2 linked regions of the Medicago truncatula genome follow. The protein of the gene in region 1 interacts with the protein of each later gene in a pairwise test. Links are inferred from orthologs where the notes say so. Each region holds a gene or a part of one and is shown on either strand. Other genes may lie near its edges.

Evidence for each region.
Region 2: the proteins of retinoblastoma-related protein (region 1) and protein SCARECROW interact in binary tests that used the Arabidopsis thaliana proteins (3 or more experiments, as listed by UniProt). The link is inferred for Medicago truncatula from reciprocal best matches to the Arabidopsis thaliana genes RBR1 and SCR.

What each region holds. Positions count from the first base shown.
Region 1 is NC_053049.1:15,475,354-15,485,433, forward strand, and holds the start of retinoblastoma-related protein, read right to left. Parts: upstream 4,322-10,080; 5' UTR 4,144-4,321; coding exon 4,048-4,143; intron 2,290-4,047; coding exon 2,185-2,289; intron 2,099-2,184; coding exon 1,956-2,098; intron 1,875-1,955; coding exon 1,778-1,874; intron 1,656-1,777; coding exon 1,609-1,655; intron 1,512-1,608; coding exon 1,322-1,511; intron 1,045-1,321; coding exon 978-1,044; intron 807-977; coding exon 627-806; intron 544-626; coding exon 347-543; intron 260-346; coding exon 1-259. UniProt on the Arabidopsis thaliana protein: Key regulator of entry into cell division. Acts as a transcription repressor of E2F target genes, whose activity is required for progress from the G1 to the S phase of the cell cycle.
Region 2 is NC_053048.1:34,592,686-34,603,737, reverse strand, and holds protein SCARECROW, read left to right. Parts: upstream 1-6,449; 5' UTR 6,450-6,842; coding exon 6,843-8,800; intron 8,801-9,353; coding exon 9,354-9,813; 3' UTR 9,814-10,434; downstream 10,435-11,052. UniProt on the Arabidopsis thaliana protein: Transcription factor required for quiescent center cells specification and maintenance of surrounding stem cells, and for the asymmetric cell division involved in radial pattern formation in roots.

The sequences.
Region 1 (10,080 bases):
CTCTGCGTACTACCTCACTAGTAATATCTCTGTCGCATGAAGTCAAGAATCGCTCTAGCTCTTGTGACGGCTTTGATGGAAGTGGAGAAATGACAGTTCGAAGCCACTTTGCAGTAGTCATTGCTGTGCTTACAGGGGTGGCAGCAATCTTTGAATTTGCGCTACCTGGAATGCCATTAGCATGGGATGCAGGAGAGCGCTGGGGTGAAAGTGGACTTGTAATGGTCTTGGCGGGTGACATCATCAAATCATATTTCCTCTACAGAACACAATTAATAGATTATTTTAGGTATTATCTTCACAAGACGGAACAAGAAATTTAGAAGAAATTTTTAATGAGACATACCTTTACACCTCCTGCTGAAACTGAAGAACCTCCAGACAAACTTCCTGAAGCTAGCAGGCTGTCATCCTCATTAATGAATAACCTTTCATCCAGTTCACCCTTGTTGCGAGTCATTTGATCATAATCATTTTCTAAGATATTCAAACTAGACGCCAGAGATGATTCCTCCATGAGATCTTTAAAATAAGTCAAACCATCTACAAAGTGTAAACAACAGTTAGAGATATCATATGTTGGAATCCTGATGCATAGAATGATAAAAGGGCAAAGGAAAGTAAACCTTTATCAAAATCCTCTAGGTTTTCAGTTTCACATTCAGATGCCAAACAGGGCGTCTTCTTCAATATATCTGCTACTAAATTATTGGCTTGCTCCATGGTTTTCCTCAACTCATCTTCTGAAGTGTTATATATGTTGCAAAGTGAAGCAAGGAGGTCCACACCTTTACTGCTTTTCTTAACTGCAAGAAATTTTGAATGGACTTAAATTAAAATTAATCCACATTTAAGCCCACCACTGAAATACCTTATAATTATAATTAAATGTGTATGTGTGCAAATACCATGTCCCTAAGATACAGAACAATAACAGTATAATATCAAAATGCAGGAAGGTGTAACAAAGAAATTACCAAAGCGTGCAGAGTCGTGAATGTTGAAATTCCGAAAACGAGCCGGAACATGAATAATTAGGATAGCCTGTAACAGATACACCAAGAACAATAAGAAATTGTTTCCTTCACCTCAAAAGTATTACAACCAGAAAAAAATGGAAAAATTGAATTTATCTATGTACATTAAAAATATCAATGCTCAAACAATTATTTTCAAGTGTGCAAAATTTCAGCAGTGAAACAGACACCAATAATTGAATTTATACTCATTTTTATGTGAACAGAAAAAAAATATATGAAACCACTTCATGGATATTCCATTAATGAAAAAGACTAAAAGACTGCAAAAGAATCTAACTGACCATGATAGAAATTAAACCATTGGTGCAAGTCACCAAGTCTTTAAAACGGCTGAAAGCATGTACACGAAGGGCCAAGAAAAGTAACCATCCAAAACGATGGCACTCAGATACACGGCCCGTAACAGACGACTTATTTTCAACATTTGCATCAGTTGACACGAAGAACTCTTCAAATACACGCTTATAATACCTGGCACAATCAAAGTCGTAAGATGTAAAGCAAACTATAATCAAAGCAAGCAACCTTATACTGCAAAAAAAAACATAAAAAATACTGGGCTACTCACTTGCTAAGAATCTTCAGGTGAATAGTGTTAGCATGCATCTCTTTTGCCTAATATAAACATAGCAACATAAAATATTAGCTAAGTATATAACTGATTTGAAGGATTTAAAAGTATATAATCACAATTAACTTGGCAAAAATACAATCGTGATTCTCAGACTAGTCAATACCTCAAGCTTGTTTTCCCAATCAGAGCCGAATCGATTGCTTAAAATTGGACCAGCTTTGACAACAAACTGAGGAAGTTCTTTAAAAAAATCTGCAATGCTGTTCAATACAAGATAAACATACCAGTTAATAAAAGACCAAACTACAAACTTTGATACTAGATAAAGGTCAGAAAAATACTTAAGCTTTGCTGCTCTCAATATTCGACACAAGGTAAGACCGGTATTCTCAATCTCTTCTTTTTCACTTTCCTCATTTTTCTGAGTCAGCCTCTTGATAGAGTATAAAATAAAAGCAAACCAGTACCGCTCTGCTTCTTCTATCTGAAAATATTTATAAACCTCATGAATTCAAATAAAAACTTCAATGACAAATGGATTTCATACTAGAGAGTTGTGTGCATACGTACCGTTCCATTTCCCATTGATGAAACATTTGCCATGAGAAGATGTTTGGTTTCTCCAAACAGATCCATTGCTTCTTTACAGCTTTTCTCATCCAATGCTAGCTCATTCTGCAACAAAAGAGAGAGTTAAAATATATAAAAATTATCCTGTCACAAAAATATTATATTATCTCGTAGGATTGTTTTCCTATCTTGCAGTGTCTCTCGATATTAGTTTCCCATTTTACTTGGATATTATCATAATTTGTTTCCCTATTTAATTAGGATTTGGAATCTTTGGATAGTATAAATAAGGGTTAGTACTTAATATTTTTGTATCATCAACCACAAGCACATTTTTAAGTCATCTTCACTATCTGTCTAAAAGACTGTCAATTAAACAGAGCCAATCAATGTATAATTTAATGAATAAAAAACCTCAGTTTAAAACTCATTAGATCTGTCTAAACACAAGTAATAACCATACATGTACATTTATCCTATTTGGTGTCTGGCATACACATAGAAAATTGTTGTGCAACAGAGGATACAGCAGAGCATAGCCATAATGAGAAGGTATGGCAAGTAAATGGAGTGAGTTGACCGAAAATAATGCAAGCTTCCAAACACATGTGGCTTAGTGACAGGACTTGGCGAAAAAATGAAGGGCTGGGGTGTGAAGGGATAGCCAACGCTTAATTGGGCAGCATGACTTTCCTTCGTAATCCATCCGTTATTTGAAATAAGCTAAGAGTTTCATGTTTCAAACAACAGATGCAATTAGTAATGCTACTCACAACTATTGATTTGTACCATAAACTCTTTCTGGAACAAATTAATAATGAATAGGTAACCGATGTCAAACTCCCCTCCCAATAACACAAAAGAACCGGAAACGACAGATCAATTAATAATAGTGATCCTAAAAGAAAGACTCCCAACAAATCAATGCAGACCGATTAATCACAAAGTGAAAACGCCCGACCACACAATTTTTCAACCACATTAACCGACAGTACATGACAGATCAATAAATCGGACAAACTTTTCTGAATTTAAACATTCATTTCCGCTAAATTAATGACCTAGGAAGGGTTGCTGATCTGCTAAATTGATGACCTTGGAAGGGTTGGTGATTAATTGCTCCCTAAGTTTTCTCCATCACATACTATCACCAAAACATGTCTGATTAATTTAACCAAGTCAAAAAGGAATAATAAAAAACTCAACTTTATCATACACCAAAATGTAAAAAATGCCTCAAATCACAAAAAAAAAAGGGTTAATTAAGTTTTTAGTCCCTATAAATATTTAAAATTTTGTTTTTAGTCCTTACAAAATAAAATCACACTTTTTAATCCCTAAAAATTTTTCATCAACATTTTTAGTCCTTATAAAATTTTTCATAAGCATTTTTAGTCCCTATAAAATTTTTCCATCAGCATTTTTAGTCCCTAAAATGCTTAAGGAAAATGTCACAGGGACTAAAAAGTGTGATTTTATTTTGTAGGGACTAAAAACAAAACTGTGAATATTTATAGGGACTAAAAACTTAATTAACCCAAAAAAAAAATCTATGCACCTATCTTTCCGTGAAGATCGATCGATTAATCAATAAAACATTTTAACATGCATTTTATCTCTCAATAATAATTCAATTTAGGGTTTACAAACAAAAAGAACAAATTTCATTTCACTTCTTCAAATCACAAACGAACCCTACAAACTAAAAAACTTAAAGATCAAAACTTTATAAACATAATTCACAAACAGTATCAGCTCAAACAAAATAAAAACACAACACCAAAAAAAACATTAATTAAACTAATTTCACATCAAAAAACTGACCCAGAAAACGAAAAATGAAAATTAAAACAAAGCAATCACCTTTGAAAACTCAGCAAAACGAGAAACAGCTTGGTCACCATTTTCGACAACAGAAAGCTTAGTATCTTCCATCTCCGTTTCAGCTGAAGGACTCATGAAAGAACCCTAATTCACACAGATCGAGTGAGTAGAAACCCTAATTCGAGCGAAAATTGGGTGAATTTTGACAAGGAATCGCAATTTAGGTGTGAAATTGAGAAACCCTAGGATGAAGGAAAGGGGGGAATAAGAACAGAGAAATCTCAGAAACTCACGAAAAGAGAATAAACATATTAATTTTATTTAATAATAATGTTTTTTTATTATTAAAAAAAGGTTAAGATTGTGTTTTGGCGCCACATATGTTATGTCCTACAGGTTTTTCCCGCCTAATGTAAGGCTGATGTGGATTAGGGGTATGATAGGGATTTTGTGTTGTTTGACTGGGTTTTTTGTCTCTCTATGTTTTTTACTATGTTTCGTTTTCTTACCTTAGTATATGGTTTTTTCGTTCCCAACAAAAAGTAATTTATAAAGTAGGGTTAAATATGTTTTTGGTCCCTATAAATATGTCAATTTTTCGTTTTAGTCCCTCTAAAATTTTCCTTCAACATTTAATCCCTATAAAATTTTCAATCACTATTTTTGGTCCTTATTTTAAATTTAATTTTTGTATTTTTTAATAAAATTTGGAAGAAATGTGTAAAATATTCTAAAAAAAATTCCTAAAAAAAGTTAGAATTTTTTAACAAAACACAAATTAAATATAAATTTTTAACCGTAAAAAATATAAAAATTCATATTAAATTCACGTTTTGTTAAAAAATTCTCAAATTTTTTTGAAGTGGTTCTTATAATATTTCGAATTTTCCTGGAAAATTTTATTAAATAATATGAATTCTACATATGATTTTACTTTAAAGAGGGACCAAAAGTGAAGATTGAAAATTTTATAGGGACTAAATGTTGAAGGAAAATTTTGGGAGGACTAAAACGAAAAGTTTACATATTTATAGAGACCAAAAACATACTTAACCCTATAAAGTATCTAAAAATGTGAAAAAAAAAAGTATCTAAAAATATGAAAAAATAAATAAATTACACTAACGCTACCTCTCGAACAAGTGGTTGTAGTTTTTCTTGCTGGTTCTCTCTTCTATTTTTTTATTGAGGGTCTAAAATTGTCGTTCTTTATTTCACTCTCTCTTTTAATTTAAATAAATGGTTTTTAGATAAAAATAAAAAATTTATTTTGTCGTCCTAGTGCATCGTTTCTTTCTTTGTTCATCGTTTTTGTGCAGCGTTGGCTAATTTCCCATTTTGGTAAGTTGTTTGTTTGGTTTGACATGACTAGCCAACTTTAATCTATCAATGTTCAATTAAATGATCATCACTTAAACTTAAACGTTGCATATCTGAATGCATGAGTATTTCAGTCACTTTGATTTTGTCACATTAATTGTATTTACTTTGTCATTTTAAAAGTTGTTAGTTTGTTTGCAGATTAATACTTTTCGCTTTTATTAATTTTGAATTTTAATCCATTCTTTTTGTTTTTTTTAAAGGAATTTTAATCCATTCTTATATACTCTACTAATTTGAATAAATGAATATAGTTTATTTTAGTAAAAAAAGAAATGTTAAAAATAAAATATGTGGTTCAACATAATTAAGTGATAATTTTTAGAGAGAAAGTATCTTCTAATTTAATTTCTTGTTTTTGTAACTCCTAGTATTTGATTTCTATCCATGTTTGTTTTTTTAATAAACGGTATTTAATCTATTATGACTTGAATTCATTGATTTATTTATTGCTTATTGATGAGCTACTAATACACTATACTCACTTTTGGCACGGTTTCGTAAAAATCACTTTAAATATAAGTGAGGATTATTCTACTATTACATGAATTGAATAGATTTCCTTAAAAATATGAATTAAATAGATTTGAGAGGTGGGGGCTCTGTTAGCGCAACTATTGTTTCTTACCATGCAAACAATTTGTATAAAGAATGGTTGAAAAAGATATAAATGATGAAATTAAGAGAGAAAGTATTTTTATTGTACCAATTCTCATTTGTGAATGAAAAAATGTGACTGCAACCTATTTATATTGGTTATTTGTTAGTTAAGTAACAAATTCAACTAACTAATTAATTAACCATGTAACTAAAAAGTGTTGACCCATTTTATGATTAGATGGGAGATAATGTGCACGTATGTAAAGAGTTAATTAAGGAAAAAGATAAACGACACAATTAAGTAAATTATACTAGTTCACTTCATAATCTGAAGTTAGTCCAATTCTCTCGCACTTTCGAGAAATTTCATTATAATCCAACATATTATAATAATAAACACTAAGACTACATATAATTTAAAAAATCTTTCAATAATTTTGATTATAATAGCTACAACAATTAATTAATTTCTAATGATCAGCAATTAACTCAAAATATCAATAAGGTCTAACGCTTCCAAACAACGAGCACGAGTAACACTAGAAGAGTGATAGCGAAGTTAACAATAAACACTACTTCATTGTTTCATTTTTTTTTACTTTTTATACCAATTTCAACAATAGAATAAGTCCTCAAAGATACAAAAGTAGAAAAGAAATAAATACACGAAAAAACATTACGACCGAGAATTAGGATTAAACATGTCAAAGGAATGCTTTGTTTGAGAGTTTGGAACAGAGGGAAAATGAGCGCTTTGGGAGTGGGAAATATATAGGAAAATAAAAAATCTTTCATATTTTTTGAAAGAATAATTTTTTAGAGAATGATAAATTAACACTTATGATTAATATACTTATAATTTTAAGAATATTATAACAACATAGATTTAATTTGAAAAATTCATATAATCCCTCCAAAAACCCTCCTCTAGTATAATTTTGAGTTCCTTGGATTGAGGGGTATTTGATATTATGAATAAAAAAATTAACCCCCAAACTCTATCATCCCAATGTCTTTTATTTCTCCTTCCTTTTTTTCAAAACCCTTCCCTCCCCTCCAAACTCCCAAACAAAGTCTAAGTCTTTAACCATAGATAATTTTGCAAGTTTGTAAATTTTTTGAATTGAAAAACAACCAATAAATTTCGAATTTTAATTCATATAGACCGATAATATAAAATATTTTTACACATGCATTCAATCATATTAATTAAAATTAGTAGAGGTATTAAGAATTAGCTTAAAAAATATTACTTGTCTATATGATTAGATACGATTATAACATAGTGCTTCGAAATTAATCTTATTTGTTTAATGATATGAAATTTTTTAATAAATTTAATTTATACATTATTGGTGTAAACAATTTTTACACCTTGAATTGATAATAATTGATAGACCATTGATTACGTTTAGTTTTACTCCTATCTATTTTAAATATTACACACATAATTGGTTGTAATTTGCTGAGGTACACAATTTTTTACACTATTTATGTATGAAGATTATATCAGAAATTTACTCTAATAATTTATAAGATTAATTTTTATGCACTCTTAGTGTGGTTTATCTTACACACGTCTTCAATCAAATTGCACAAAATATCGTTGTTATAGTGGAGGAGGCCTAGGAGGAGGAGAGTCTTTTGGAGTGTGGGGTGTTGTTGCATACTATTATTTTGTAGGATAATGTTCATGAGAGGTGGCGTTGGCTTCTTGACCCTATTGCTGGCTACTCTGTTAGAGGAACTTACCATTACTTCACAAAGGAAACCGATCATCCTGATTGTGGTCTGTTTGACGATGTGTGGCATAGACAGGTTCCGTTAAAAGTCTCTTTGTTTGCTTGGAGACTTCTCTGTGATCGTCTTCCGACTAAAGATAACTTGGTGCGGCGACAAATACTTTAGCTTGACGACAATATGTTTGTGAAGGGGGTGTGGGTCTCTAGAGACTACAAATCACTTGTCCTTTAGCTGCAACACTTTAAGTAGCGTGTGGTTTTTGGTTCTCCGGTGGCTCGACATCTCCTGCATCGCTCCTTTTGAGGCTCGTGATCATCTCCTTCAGTTCGGGCATCTTGCTGGATTACCAAGTTCTTCTCATTCATTCCTTCGGATGATCTGGCTAGCTTGCGTTTGGGTTATCTGAAAGGAGTGTGACAATAGAGTTTTTAATCACAAGTTTTTGGATTCCCACTGCATGGCGGACAAGGTTAAACGGCAATCGTACTTTTGGCTTAAATCCAATATGCAGGCTTTTATTTTCAGCATCCATGAGTGGTTGCAGCACCCTTTATCATGCATGAGTGTTTTGATGTAATGTTATTATTATTATTGTTTTCTTCATTGCGTTGTTCCTTTTTCAGGGACCCATGACCTGACTTTGTAACTGTTTTCGCTGTTTCTCTTTGCACATCTTATGCCAGATAAAACACTTTTGGTAATGTTATTTTCCATTTTGGCTTGTTAAAAAAAAATAAAAAATCATTGGTTATAGATTGATTCCTAATTAAAATATATCCACATGATTTGAGTGTAAACAAGGAATCATTATTTGCAATCATTATTCGGTTGATCCTGATATGTTTCACTAGTAATGCTAAGATACTCTTTAGTCTAAACAAGGAATCTACAATGTGCTAGAGATACATATTTGCAATGGTTAATTTCTACCAATAATTTTAGAAGCTTGTAATTTCCACAACAAGACCATAGTTCAATAATGTTTTTCTGAAGAAGCATAGTTGAATAATGTTAATGCTTGGTAGACCAACTTTGATTTTATCCTTGAGGATGTGCTATTATTCTGATCATTCTATTTCACCAAATGCTTAGCAAAGGACTTTAGGTTTGTGAAAGAACAAAGATTCTCAAAACAAAGATTCTATTTCACCAACACTCAGAGGATTTCACCCTTGAAAGAACAAAGCAATAATCAGAATCAAGATTCTCAGAAACCTACTCGGTTCTGAAGAGCTATAAGTACTGCAATACAAAGATTGATTGAAGTGGTAGGCCTATAATCTTGATATGTGCCCACAGGATGGAAAATGCATCGCAGCTTTGTTGCAACCACCTTTTTATCGTAACAACATTTATTAAACTAATTTTGGTATCCTTAACCATACATCGCACGGGTCGCTATCTAGTGTAATAACCAACCATGCACAAATGAAAAAGTCTAGTGTCTCCCAAAGTACACACCTGAAAATATAGCAAGGTGCTAGCATGTAAAAATGTTGGTGATAGTTAACAAGCAAAGCGCAGTGTGATGCCATTGTGCGCAGCAGCAATATTTGCAGTCGTAATTGCGGATCCAGACCATAATTTAAATCCATGATACAATCCATAGCAAAAACAATCAACAGTCAATCACATGAAAATATAAACCGAGTGAGAAATCAAAAAGATTTGAAACCATTATACAAACCATTGCAAAAACAATCAAAAGTCAATATACCCAGTACTAATCTTCAAACTATTAATTGAAATAAAACATAGAAATAAAGAACTCTAAAAGCTAATTTTCACAATTTTTTGCACAACTTCTGTCATTCAACTCCATTCATGAATCAACCACCACTCTAAGCATTTCAATAGCGGAAGATGAGATTATTATTGAAACCATAGTTAATTGAAATCTTCGTAATATATAGCATAATAGAGTAGTCATTGAAGGTAATACATATAGGGTCTTATTAAAGTTATCGTCTTTCAAAAGTTTGGAAGATTTGTAAAATAAAATGATAAACATTTTTCAAATATTGTCTTGGTATTATGCCATCAAACTTAAAAACCAACATAAAAACAAGTTAAAATTATCAAGCATCGATTAAGCAACCACCATCTTCACTGAAAATATAACTATCCTTCATGTCTTTGAACTCATTGTTGTCATTTTTCTTTTTATAAACTAGAATGACGCATTATGCATCATTCAATATATATCAACCAAAAAAGAAAAGAAAGTACAAAATGAAAAAGGATGGATTAGGCCAAAACCTTTTCAGAAATATACAAACCTAAAGTTAGATATTTTCATCCTATTTTTAGTGTACTCCCTTCTAATGGGCTCCGGAAGTATTAACACGT
Region 2 (11,052 bases), on another chromosome or scaffold:
TTTTGATTATTCTTTTTAACACATATTCATGAATTGGGTTAAATCAACATGGTCTTAAAAATAATTATGCTATTAGCTCACATCGAGATAGGCAATTAAGGTTTAAACAAGGAACCTCTCAGCCGATAGAATGTTAAACGAAGACTATGATAGTCGAGTTGGGAAAACTGATTTTTTTTGTCTTCTCAAATCTACTGAAATAAAGTCCATGTGTCTCGAGGATCTAAGGCCTAGTCAAAACTTAGTAGAATTGGATGATGATGTTTAAAATCACACTCCATGTTTATAAAGCTACTAACTGTGAGCGATGATAAAGGAAGCACGTTCGTGTGAAGGTTGCGCATCAATAACATTGTTAACAGATGAGGTTGCAAATGAGGAAGTTGATATCTGAACTTGGGGCGCCATTGTTAGACATATTGCAATTCAATAACAAAAACTCAAACAACCGTACTTAATGCTCTACTAAAGAGGTTAAGAAATCCACAACTGGAGTACATGGTTCTTTTCTTAGTCTTCATCGTTTGAAAAAATATGGAATCACAATAGAGCAAATTAACTATACTTTGGCTAAATTTTTGCTACATCAATAATTATTATTCACTGTATAGTTGGATTTGGATGGAGATTTATTGAAACTGAAAGGGAGAGATCACGAGTTTGATATTCGTCACTGTTGAAAAACAGTTTGAATTGATCTCCAAAATAATTTGTTCAATTTCAATGCAATGCATTCCATCTACTAGTCATGTGCAAAAGACATTCTTTATATTTTAATATTTGTGGACTCATGTCTCTGTTTGTTTTCGTTAGGACAGGAATCACGACACATAAAATCATCACCTTGAACACTATTTCTCTCTTCAGTGAAATTTTATGTGAAAAGTTGAAAGTTTTTTCTAGCATTATAATTTCTTATAGATGAAAAAATTATTTGGTAAATAAATTATTATATGGAATTTTACTGTGGACCACTGAACTCATCATTAGAAGTTTCACTAACATACGAAAGGAGTTACTCAAAATACAGAAGATGTTATGTAGCATGGTAAACGCAAAACGGGGCACATGTAAAACAAGATATTCTTAAAACAACGGTAATAATAGGGGCCAGATGAAAATTGCTGTTCACACATGTTATAGGGTTGAAAAACACCAGTAAAATATCAAAATATCATTTCTGCAGTTAACTGTCGAAAAAAAATAAAACCAACTGCAGTTAACTACCGAGGAAATGAAAACCCAGAATTATCATCATCATCTTCTTCTTCTTCCTGTTATGAGTTTCACATAAGAACAAACTTTCAAACTTCAGGAAAACCCTCTTCTTCCTCCTCCTCTTCTTCATATAAAAAAAGACCAAAAAATTCAGAAAAACTAATATAAATTCACAATTAAAATTCTTTAATCAAATCTCTCTCTGCACAAAGTCTTACCGGTGAATCAAAACAAAAATGTAAATTCACGCAGCACTCACCCTCACCTCAAAGTGATTTTTGTTTTACTGGTGAATCAAAACATTGATTTATGGTGAATTTACGTTGGAAAACTTCTTTATGTACAAATTTATGGTGAATGAAAACTTCATTACCATTCAAATTAATGGTGAATTATGGGGATATAATATCACTACCACCATCAACAAATCTCTCTCTGCACAACGAAGAAGATGATGATGATAATTCTGGGTTTTCATTTTCCTCTGTAGTTAACTGCCGAGGTTTTCCTCGGAAGTTAAATGCAATCGATTTTATTTTTCCTCGACAGTTAACTACAGAGGGGGTATTTTGATATTTTACTGGTGTTTCTCAGCCCTATAACATATGTGAACAACAATTTTCGAGCCAGATTGTGTACAGTAACCAGCTTCACACAGTTTAATACAGTAAACAATTTCGACTACATAGTAAAATTTATTATAAATAAATGATCACATCCATCAGTTTGAGATCAAACTATCAAGATATGTTAGATCATCATGCAACTAACTAGAGTAATGTTATTTGAACATGATTAACATCTTATTTCAATATGAAATAAAAATAGGTTATTTATATCCATTGATGTGACTTGAAGAAATAATAAAAATAAACCACATGTTAAACAATAAAATTTATAATTTATATGTATATTGTGGACTCTTTAACACGGTGAATTTTAGGATGAGGGTCCAATTAGGTCCCTCACCGGTGGATCACGAAAAAAAATACCAATAGATTAAATAGATGGTTCATATTTATTAAAAGCAATAGTGAAAATATGTACAACTACTCACATTCAATCCTATCCTAAAATGATTCTAGTGTAGTTACAAATCGTGTTCTGATTCTTCCTCTATAATCAGTTACCACTCTTACACTCAAACCATCCAATATGTGAATCAAGTTATGAACCCTAAAATTAACTAATTTTTTCTTTTTCTTCAACAAATCTGTTAATTGCAATCCCATTAAATCTTCAGTCACGCAAGCGCTCTCATATATGGGAGAAAAATAAGTAATTGATTGAGAGTTCGTATAACATGAAATTTTGCATCAAGAAGGAATAAAAATACAATTAAAATTTGCGATGCATTCTTGTTGCTTTTGTGGCTTGTAATTCTTCAGTTCTGTATTATAGTTGGTTGATTAGAAGTTTGTTCAAGCAATTTTAAAGGAGTTAGATTGGTGCTTGTAGAGATTTTATTGATGGTGTATTTTCATGGTTTCACCCTATATTATAATTCTTCTTCCATGATACGACTCTTCGCTCAAATCATATCACACTCAAACCATGAAATTGAGTCTAAGTTATGAATCCTAAAATTAAATAATTTTCTTCTTCAACAAACGGCAATAATCCCCTTTTCAGTCCAAATCAGTGAATGATTTAATTTTATGAACTCTGAAGCATTTGTAATCACTCTAATGTCATAGTTCACTCTACTGGTTATGGACGGAGAATTATACAACAGACATTGGGGAAAACCATTAAAGGATAAGATTGAATGTGAATAGTTGTATATGTTCCTATTTTTAATTTGAATAAATCTGAAGCATGTATTTAATTCAACAGTGTTTTTTTTGTGGTCCATTAGTGAGGGACTTAATTGGATCCTCACCCTAGAATCCATCCTTTAACACACTACCTCACGCTCAACATTACACGGTTCGATGCATGGATATAAATGGTGGATGGTTCGATTGTAAAAATCTGATAGTAGGTGATCCAACAAGATCTTGGAGAGACTTTGATATTATCTTATAAATTGTGGTTGAGCTAACACAGCTTCACAAAATCGATTTAAAACGTGATGATTGCTTTCATTTATAAACTCATTGTCGGACCATCTTTTATTCAATATGAAACTCTTTAATTAAATGTTAATAGTAGATTAAATCATCGTATTAATATTATGGTAATTAAAAAAAAATTGTATAAAATAGCAATTTTATAACTGCAAACATGGTATAGAGAGAAAATTCAAAAAGTTACAGCAAGCCAAGCAAGTAGCTAAGGGCTATTCACAGTTCACACGTAGTACCAGTACCTTTTAGGCATTGATTTTGCTGCCACCTTTTCCGTAATGTGTCCGTTGCAGTGGTTGGTTTGACAAAATATGTTAATGGCACCAAATACTAAGCAATAAAATCAATTAAAAAAATAATCTGATTGAATGAAGTCAAGAGGAAAAAGCTGATTGGTGATGCCGTAGTTGAAAGCAAAATGTCAAACACTACGATTCACATTTTTTGGAACTGAGGTTTGACAGCTCCTTCCTTCTCCCTCCTCGTTTATAGTGACACTCCCTCCCTCCATATCTATCCCTTTTTTATGTCATTTTTTATTGCTCAATAATTCTTTTTCTAATAATAATTCCACAAATAATAGTAGTGTACTAATAGACATAATAATGCCAATTTTCAAGTGTCATTGTTTCCATATTTTCAATTTAAGCATTATCATATGATGGTGCTCCATGGGAACTTCAATAGATTATCTATTCCATAATATACATTGATTTAACATATTTTAACTATATTTTTCTATTAATTCACAGAAATAAATAATGTTATTATGTGAGATATTGTTGGATTCGTTTCGATGAATATTTTTAAAATATTAAATCTTCAAAACTTTTTTTAGTAGATAATTGAAGATATCAAAAATAAAACATATACATTGGTACATGTGTTGGACTCAACTAGGTCATCTAATGTAGGATGGATGGAGTATTATTTATTCAAGAAATACTAGCATGAGTAATTTGTTTTAGAGAAATGTTAACTGGTACCCCCAAGACACTAGTTAAAGAATCAAATATAATAAGTATTGTATTGGAATTTGTGCTGTCAACTCCTCAAAAACGTAAAATGTGTTATTTTCACTTTAAAACTTTCGTTTTTAATTTCCTTCCGACAAATGTTAAAGAATTTTTTCAAGTAATTTTGTTTCAAAAGTGGGTTACAAGCACATCAAGATTTCCATATAATCATTATCATATGATTAATTGCATTTTTAACAATGTCCACTGCTTCTAAAAAAAACTGTAACTATCGAAAATTGAAGAGATATAATTTTGACACACAAAAGGCCAACACCGAATAAAATATTGTTTGAGTTAATGTGTTTTTAGTCGAGGTCCGAGAAAATATTATATGAAAATCTAAATAATTTGTTCTAGAAAAATTAATTTGGAAATCATTATAGAAAAAAAGCAAAAATGGTTAACAACAGAAATTTAACTCTAGGTGTATTTTAAAAGTGGAAATCGGTGAACCCCTGAAGAAGTACTTTTGGACATTATTTCTCAGAAAAAGACTCTGACAATGGGTGGAGTATTTAATTTTATTGTGCAGATAAAAAAGCAGTATTTACTGGCAAGGAAGACAACGAAACCAAGATAGATCAGTGTTATTTTTAAGCCAGAACAGTCATTTCTGAATAATCAAAATGTGACAAATTTTCTTTTAAAAAAAAAAATGTGACAGTTTTTTAACAACGTATAAAAATAAAAATACATCTAAAACAATTGTTAACTTTTTTTTTTTTTAAGGAAAACAATTGTTAACTTGATTAGATAAGAAAGATAACATTTTAATCAAATTGACAATCGTATGTCTAGAAGTCCTAACTCAACTGGTAAATGCTGAAATTGCAAGGTCGGACGTCGTGACCTTGAGTTCGAACCTAAGATCTCACAGTTGTGTATGAGTTTAATTTCAATGAATTACCACTTCATCTAAGACCAAAAAAAATATTGACAATCGTATAAACATACGATGGCAGACAATGTTTGTAGTAATTTATAAGAATTAAATTTAATCATGACTATTAAAGAGCTTCTTCGTAGAGATTGGATGGTTAGTTTACGACATACATTGCGTGAGGGTAACGCTGCAGCTGATTTTCTAGTTAAAAAGGGTGCTCTCAGTGATAGTAGCCTTGTTATTTTGAATGAAGCCCCTCCTGATATGGCATGTGTCCTCTTAGCAGCTGCAATAGGTGTTGAGTTTGTTCGACCCTAGTATGGGTCTATTTTAGCTTCTCTGTTTTTTTTCCCTTTTGTTACCAAAAAATCAAAAGTCAAAACTTATATTTTTAACACAAATTTTCTATATATAATTTCCTTAATCATTGCTTTGATGGTAATGGTTAGCAGAACCCTGATTCTTTTTGTTTTTTTTTTTTTAAATTCACTTTGCACTTTAATGTGAATTTCTCACTTTTGAGTAGTCACATTCTATTTTGAAGTTGTATTCTCACATCTTATATGAATAAATGTGTATGATATATTCAAGGAAAGAGATACAAAATAATATAAAAGTCATAAACCGAATAGATTTACTCTATCTAAGATGAACCGTTCAAAAGAATCTAAATTTAATTTATGAATAGCGTAGAACAATTTTTGACCAAATTTTACCTATCTTTCAATCGAACTCAATCACTAAAACTTTCCTATCGTAAAAATTGGAAGATTAACACACACTCAAAAAAGAAAAGTGCAAACATGATAAGTTAATGTTAAATTTTGTGTAAAAAAACATATTTCATAAATGAGACAAGTTTTACAACTTGCATACGTTAGTTTTCATCTTTTGGATCAATAAACTTCACCATAGATAGAATACGAATTATTTATTTAATAGTGAAAATAACATATATATATATATATATATATATATATATAAATTATGCAAAATTATTTATCTGTTCATGTTAGACAAAACATGAAGATATTATGGAGTATCAAGTTTTCTTAGGATCATGAAAATGAAGAATTGAGCAGCATGTTTTTGATAAAAATAAAAATAAAAATTGGGTTGTACTATATGGCATGGCACTAATGCATGTGGTTGGACAAAATAATAATAATAATAATATGGTTAGCAAAATATAAATAAATAAAATAAAACAAAGTGCACAAAGACGAATAACTAGCCGCCGTGAGCAGTTTTGATTCATGTTCTTCTACCCAAGACACACTCCCTTTTTCTTTGTTTTGCACCCTCCCATGCAAGAGAGAGAGATTTATCAGAAACATCCAAAAGCCTAAAGGCATAGAGAACCGTGTTGCTAGAGAGAGAGAGAGAATCAAACTCAATTACTACTCCTATGAGAAGAGAATCCTTTAGCTACTGTCCCAATCTTCACAACGTTATCTCCTTGTAACTTTGGAACCAACAACACTACACACATGTATGTATTTGCCTCTTAAACCAACATTTCTTCTAGTATAGTACTACTATATGCCCCCCCCTTAATTATTTCATACTATTAATGCACTTGTACTAGTACTTTACACATTCATTTTCAACCCAACCCAACCCAACCAAATATTCATCTTGCTTTCTATCAATATGGCTGCTTGTGCTTTGTTCAATGGTGCTACTACTGATGAAACCAACAACAATAGTGCTTCAAACTCCAGCAATATCAGTAGTGAAGATTTACACACTCTACACAACAGCAACACCAACATGCCACAACAACAACAACCTCATTCTGATAGAAAAGTGCTTAGAAAAAGAATGGCTTCTGAAATGGAACTTCAACTTCAAGTCCACAACAACAACAATAGATTTTCTCGTAGAAACAACAACAACATTTCCTCATTGAATTGTTCTTTACCTTCTTCCACAGAAAAAGGTGTTACAACAACAACAACAACAACACTAGCCGCAGGTACAAATAATAATGCTAATAATAATAACTTTCATTATAATACTAATAATATAAACAATAGTAGTCATCATAGTAATGTTGCTTTGTCACGAGATAACGTTGCTGTTCAAAATTACCCCACTGTGACCGTCACAACCAACTACTCCACTATGTTGCTACCTTCTTCTTCCAACAATCTCAACAATTCCTCAACCTCAAACTACGCTCATTTTCAACAACCACTTGTTGAGGAACAAAACCATGTTCCTAATATTTGTGGTTTTTCTGGTTTACCACTTTTTCCATCTCAAAACCAACCCAACAGAACCAGCAACAGAAACAGTAACAGTAACATAAGTTCTGCTACTAATATTGTTGATGTTGTTAACTCTTCTACACCTTCTATGATGGACGAAACATCAGCTACAACAAACTGGATTGATGGTATTTTGAAGGATCTTATTCATACTTCAAACAGTGTTTCTATTCCTCAACTTATCAACAATGTTAGAGAGATTATATATCCTTGTAATCCAAACCTTGCTCTTGTTCTTGAACATAGGTTACGTCTTCTTACAGAAACTGCTCCAAGTGTTGTTCCTGAGAGAAAAAGAAACAACACTGAACAACAAAGTGTTTCTAATGTTAATGTTTTACCTGCTTCTAATGTTAATTCCTCAGTCAAACTCATGAACCGTGTTGATGACATTGTTCCACATTTTTCTGATTCATCAACTCTTTTGAATCAAAATCAAAACATGTTTCCTAATTGGGGTGTGCCACAAATCAATAACAACAATAACCCTTTGGTTACTTTACCTTCACAACCACAATCAACACAACAAGATCAACATCAACATCAACAACATCAAGAGCATCAAGAAGATCTTGTACCTGCAACAACACCACCACCACCAACTTCTGCTGAGTTAGCAATAACAAGAAAAAAGAAAGAGGAGATTAAAGAACAGAAGAAGAAAGATGAAGAAGGTTTACACCTTCTAACATTACTTCTTCAATGTGCAGAAGCAGTATCAGCAGAGAATCTTGAACAAGCAAATAAGATGTTACTCGAAATTTCGCAGCTTTCTACGCCTTTCGGGACCTCGGCACAAAGAGTAGCAGCTTATTTCTCAGAAGCAATTTCAGCAAGACTAGTGAGTTCATGTTTAGGAATCTATGCAACACTTCCACCACACACACTACATAATCAAAAAGTTGCTTCAGCTTTTCAAGTCTTCAATGGTATTAGTCCATTTGTGAAATTCTCTCATTTCACTGCTAACCAAGCTATACAAGAAGCTTTTGATAGAGAAGAAAGAGTTCACATCATAGATCTTGATATCATGCAAGGTTTACAATGGCCTGGTCTTTTTCATATCCTTGCTTCAAGACCAGGTGGACCTCCTTATGTGAGACTCACTGGATTAGGTACTTCCATGGAAACCCTTGAAGCTACTGGTAAACGTTTGTCTGATTTTGCATCTAAACTTGGTCTTCCTTTTGAGTTCTTTCCTGTTGCTGAGAAAGTTGGAAATATTGATGTTGAGAAGCTTAATGTTAGTAAATCAGAAGCTGTTGCTGTTCATTGGTTGCAACATTCTCTATATGATGTTACTGGTTCAGATACAAACACTTTATGGCTCTTGCAAAGGTTGGTAATGGTAATAAAAGTTTAGGTGCATATACTCTGCATGAAATGTTGTTATAGTTTGTTATTGTTACTCTTTTCCATTTCTTGTTGGTTTTGTATATATAATCTACATGATTTAGTGGTAGCTGATATAGAAAAATAGCACTTTTTCATGAAAGATTTCCCAAAACTTTATGCTTTTTATTACCTTTATAGACTATAGTGCTCACTTTATGTCTACCTTTTTTCTCTTCTAAAGGTAAAATTGGAAGCTATGATTATGTCTTTGTGTAAATTAATAGATAGAAACAAAAATAACTATTTGTTATTAAGATGATGTTTATAGTAAGTTTTTAAGGACATAGCTCTCATGTATGATTGTTATCACAATTTACAAACATGGCATTAATATCTCTATAGTTTCTAATTCAACATTGGATTTGCATGGGATTGTTATTCTGGTTATGTGTTTATCTATCTTTGTCTCTCTTACTTTTTATCTTTTACCAGTTACGCACATTTAAAAAATACAAGGACATCGTCAAAAAATCATTTATCTTTTTGTTATATGTAGGTTGGCACCTAAAGTGGTAACAGTAGTGGAACAAGACTTGAGCAATGCAGGCTCATTCTTGGGAAGGTTTGTGGAAGCAATACATTACTACTCAGCATTATTTGATTCTCTTGGTTCAAGCTATGGAGAAGAGAGTGAAGAGAGACATGTGGTGGAGCAGCAACTATTATCAAGAGAGATTCGTAACGTACTTGCAGTTGGTGGACCATCAAGGAGTGGTGAGATAAAGTTTCATAATTGGAGAGAAAAGCTTCAACAGTGTGGTTTTAGAGGTATCTCTTTGGCTGGTAATGCAGCTACACAAGCTAGTCTTCTTCTTGGCATGTTCCCTTCTGAAGGGTATACTTTGGTTGAGGATAATGGTATCCTTAAACTTGGTTGGAAAGATCTTTGTTTGCTTACTGCTTCTGCTTGGAGACCTCCCTTTCATACCAACAATATCATACCACATCATAACTGATGGAACTAATCAATCTCGTCATTGATTTAATATCGAACGACTCAGTACCTCCATGACATAGTTACTGCAGGGAATCTAATCTCTGCTTAGTTAGGAATGAAAATAGATTCCCCGCAGTCACTGGTCATGTAGTAATGATTTTGATGGTTGATGAAGATCGGACGGTTGAAATTGATTTACCAAAGTTATAATGTGAGTCGTCTGATTTATATCTCATGGATGAAGATTGGATGGTTGAGATTGATTTACCAAAGTTAAAATGTGAGTCGTCTGATCTGTATCTCATGACTTGCACTAGCTTAGTCCCTGTTGATGGCCTTTTGATTTGCATATTATAATCCTTTGTAGCATCCCTATGTTCCTTTAATCAAAATTTAAGAGATATTATTAGGTGTTTAGGAAGCATGTGATATTTCTTGCTGCCAAATGTGTACCGCTTCAGTGATGACACAAAAATGTACGAGTTAATAATAGAAGAGAGGGATGATAATATGGCTGAAGAGGTACACATTTAATATGATAGTATTTTGTTTTATTAAGAGAACTCATAAGCATGCTATTGTGATATTTCATACCTTTATGGGTACCAAATTATATATACCTTTACTATGTGTTTTATAATGCGGTGACAAAACAGAGTCATGCATGCATGAGAGTAGCTCTAGTAACCATCACATTTATTTTAAATTGGACATTACATTTTTATCTAAAATTTTAAGGCATGGATACAAGTCTTCTCACTTATTGCTCAACTTCTAAGTTATCATTGAATGATGACCTTTTTACTCAAACTTATCATACCAACATAAAAATTAATTTTGAACGAATGCATTTTGTAAATTCGCTTTTAGTTAAAAGTGAGTGAGTTTGAAGTCATTTTTATTTGAATAAACTTATGTAAAAGTGGGTTGAATAATAAATGTAAAATAAGATTTATTCACTTAAAAAAGAGTAGGACAACTAAAAAACACGTTTAAAATTAGAAAGTTAGAAACAATTCAAAAGTCAGTATATCAATTCTTCTTAAACACACCCTAAAAATACCAAAATGGATTATACACCTCTAAATTAAATTTTAGCTCATGTGAAAGTGAAATGATACACACATTTTGATTAGTGGTTGGAATTGCTACGTAGCAATGGGCTGAACTATACGGATCATACAAAAATTTCACTATCTCTTGGAAACAGACACTTGAAAAGATTCAGATATCTCCGCAGAGTAATGTCACGAGTCAT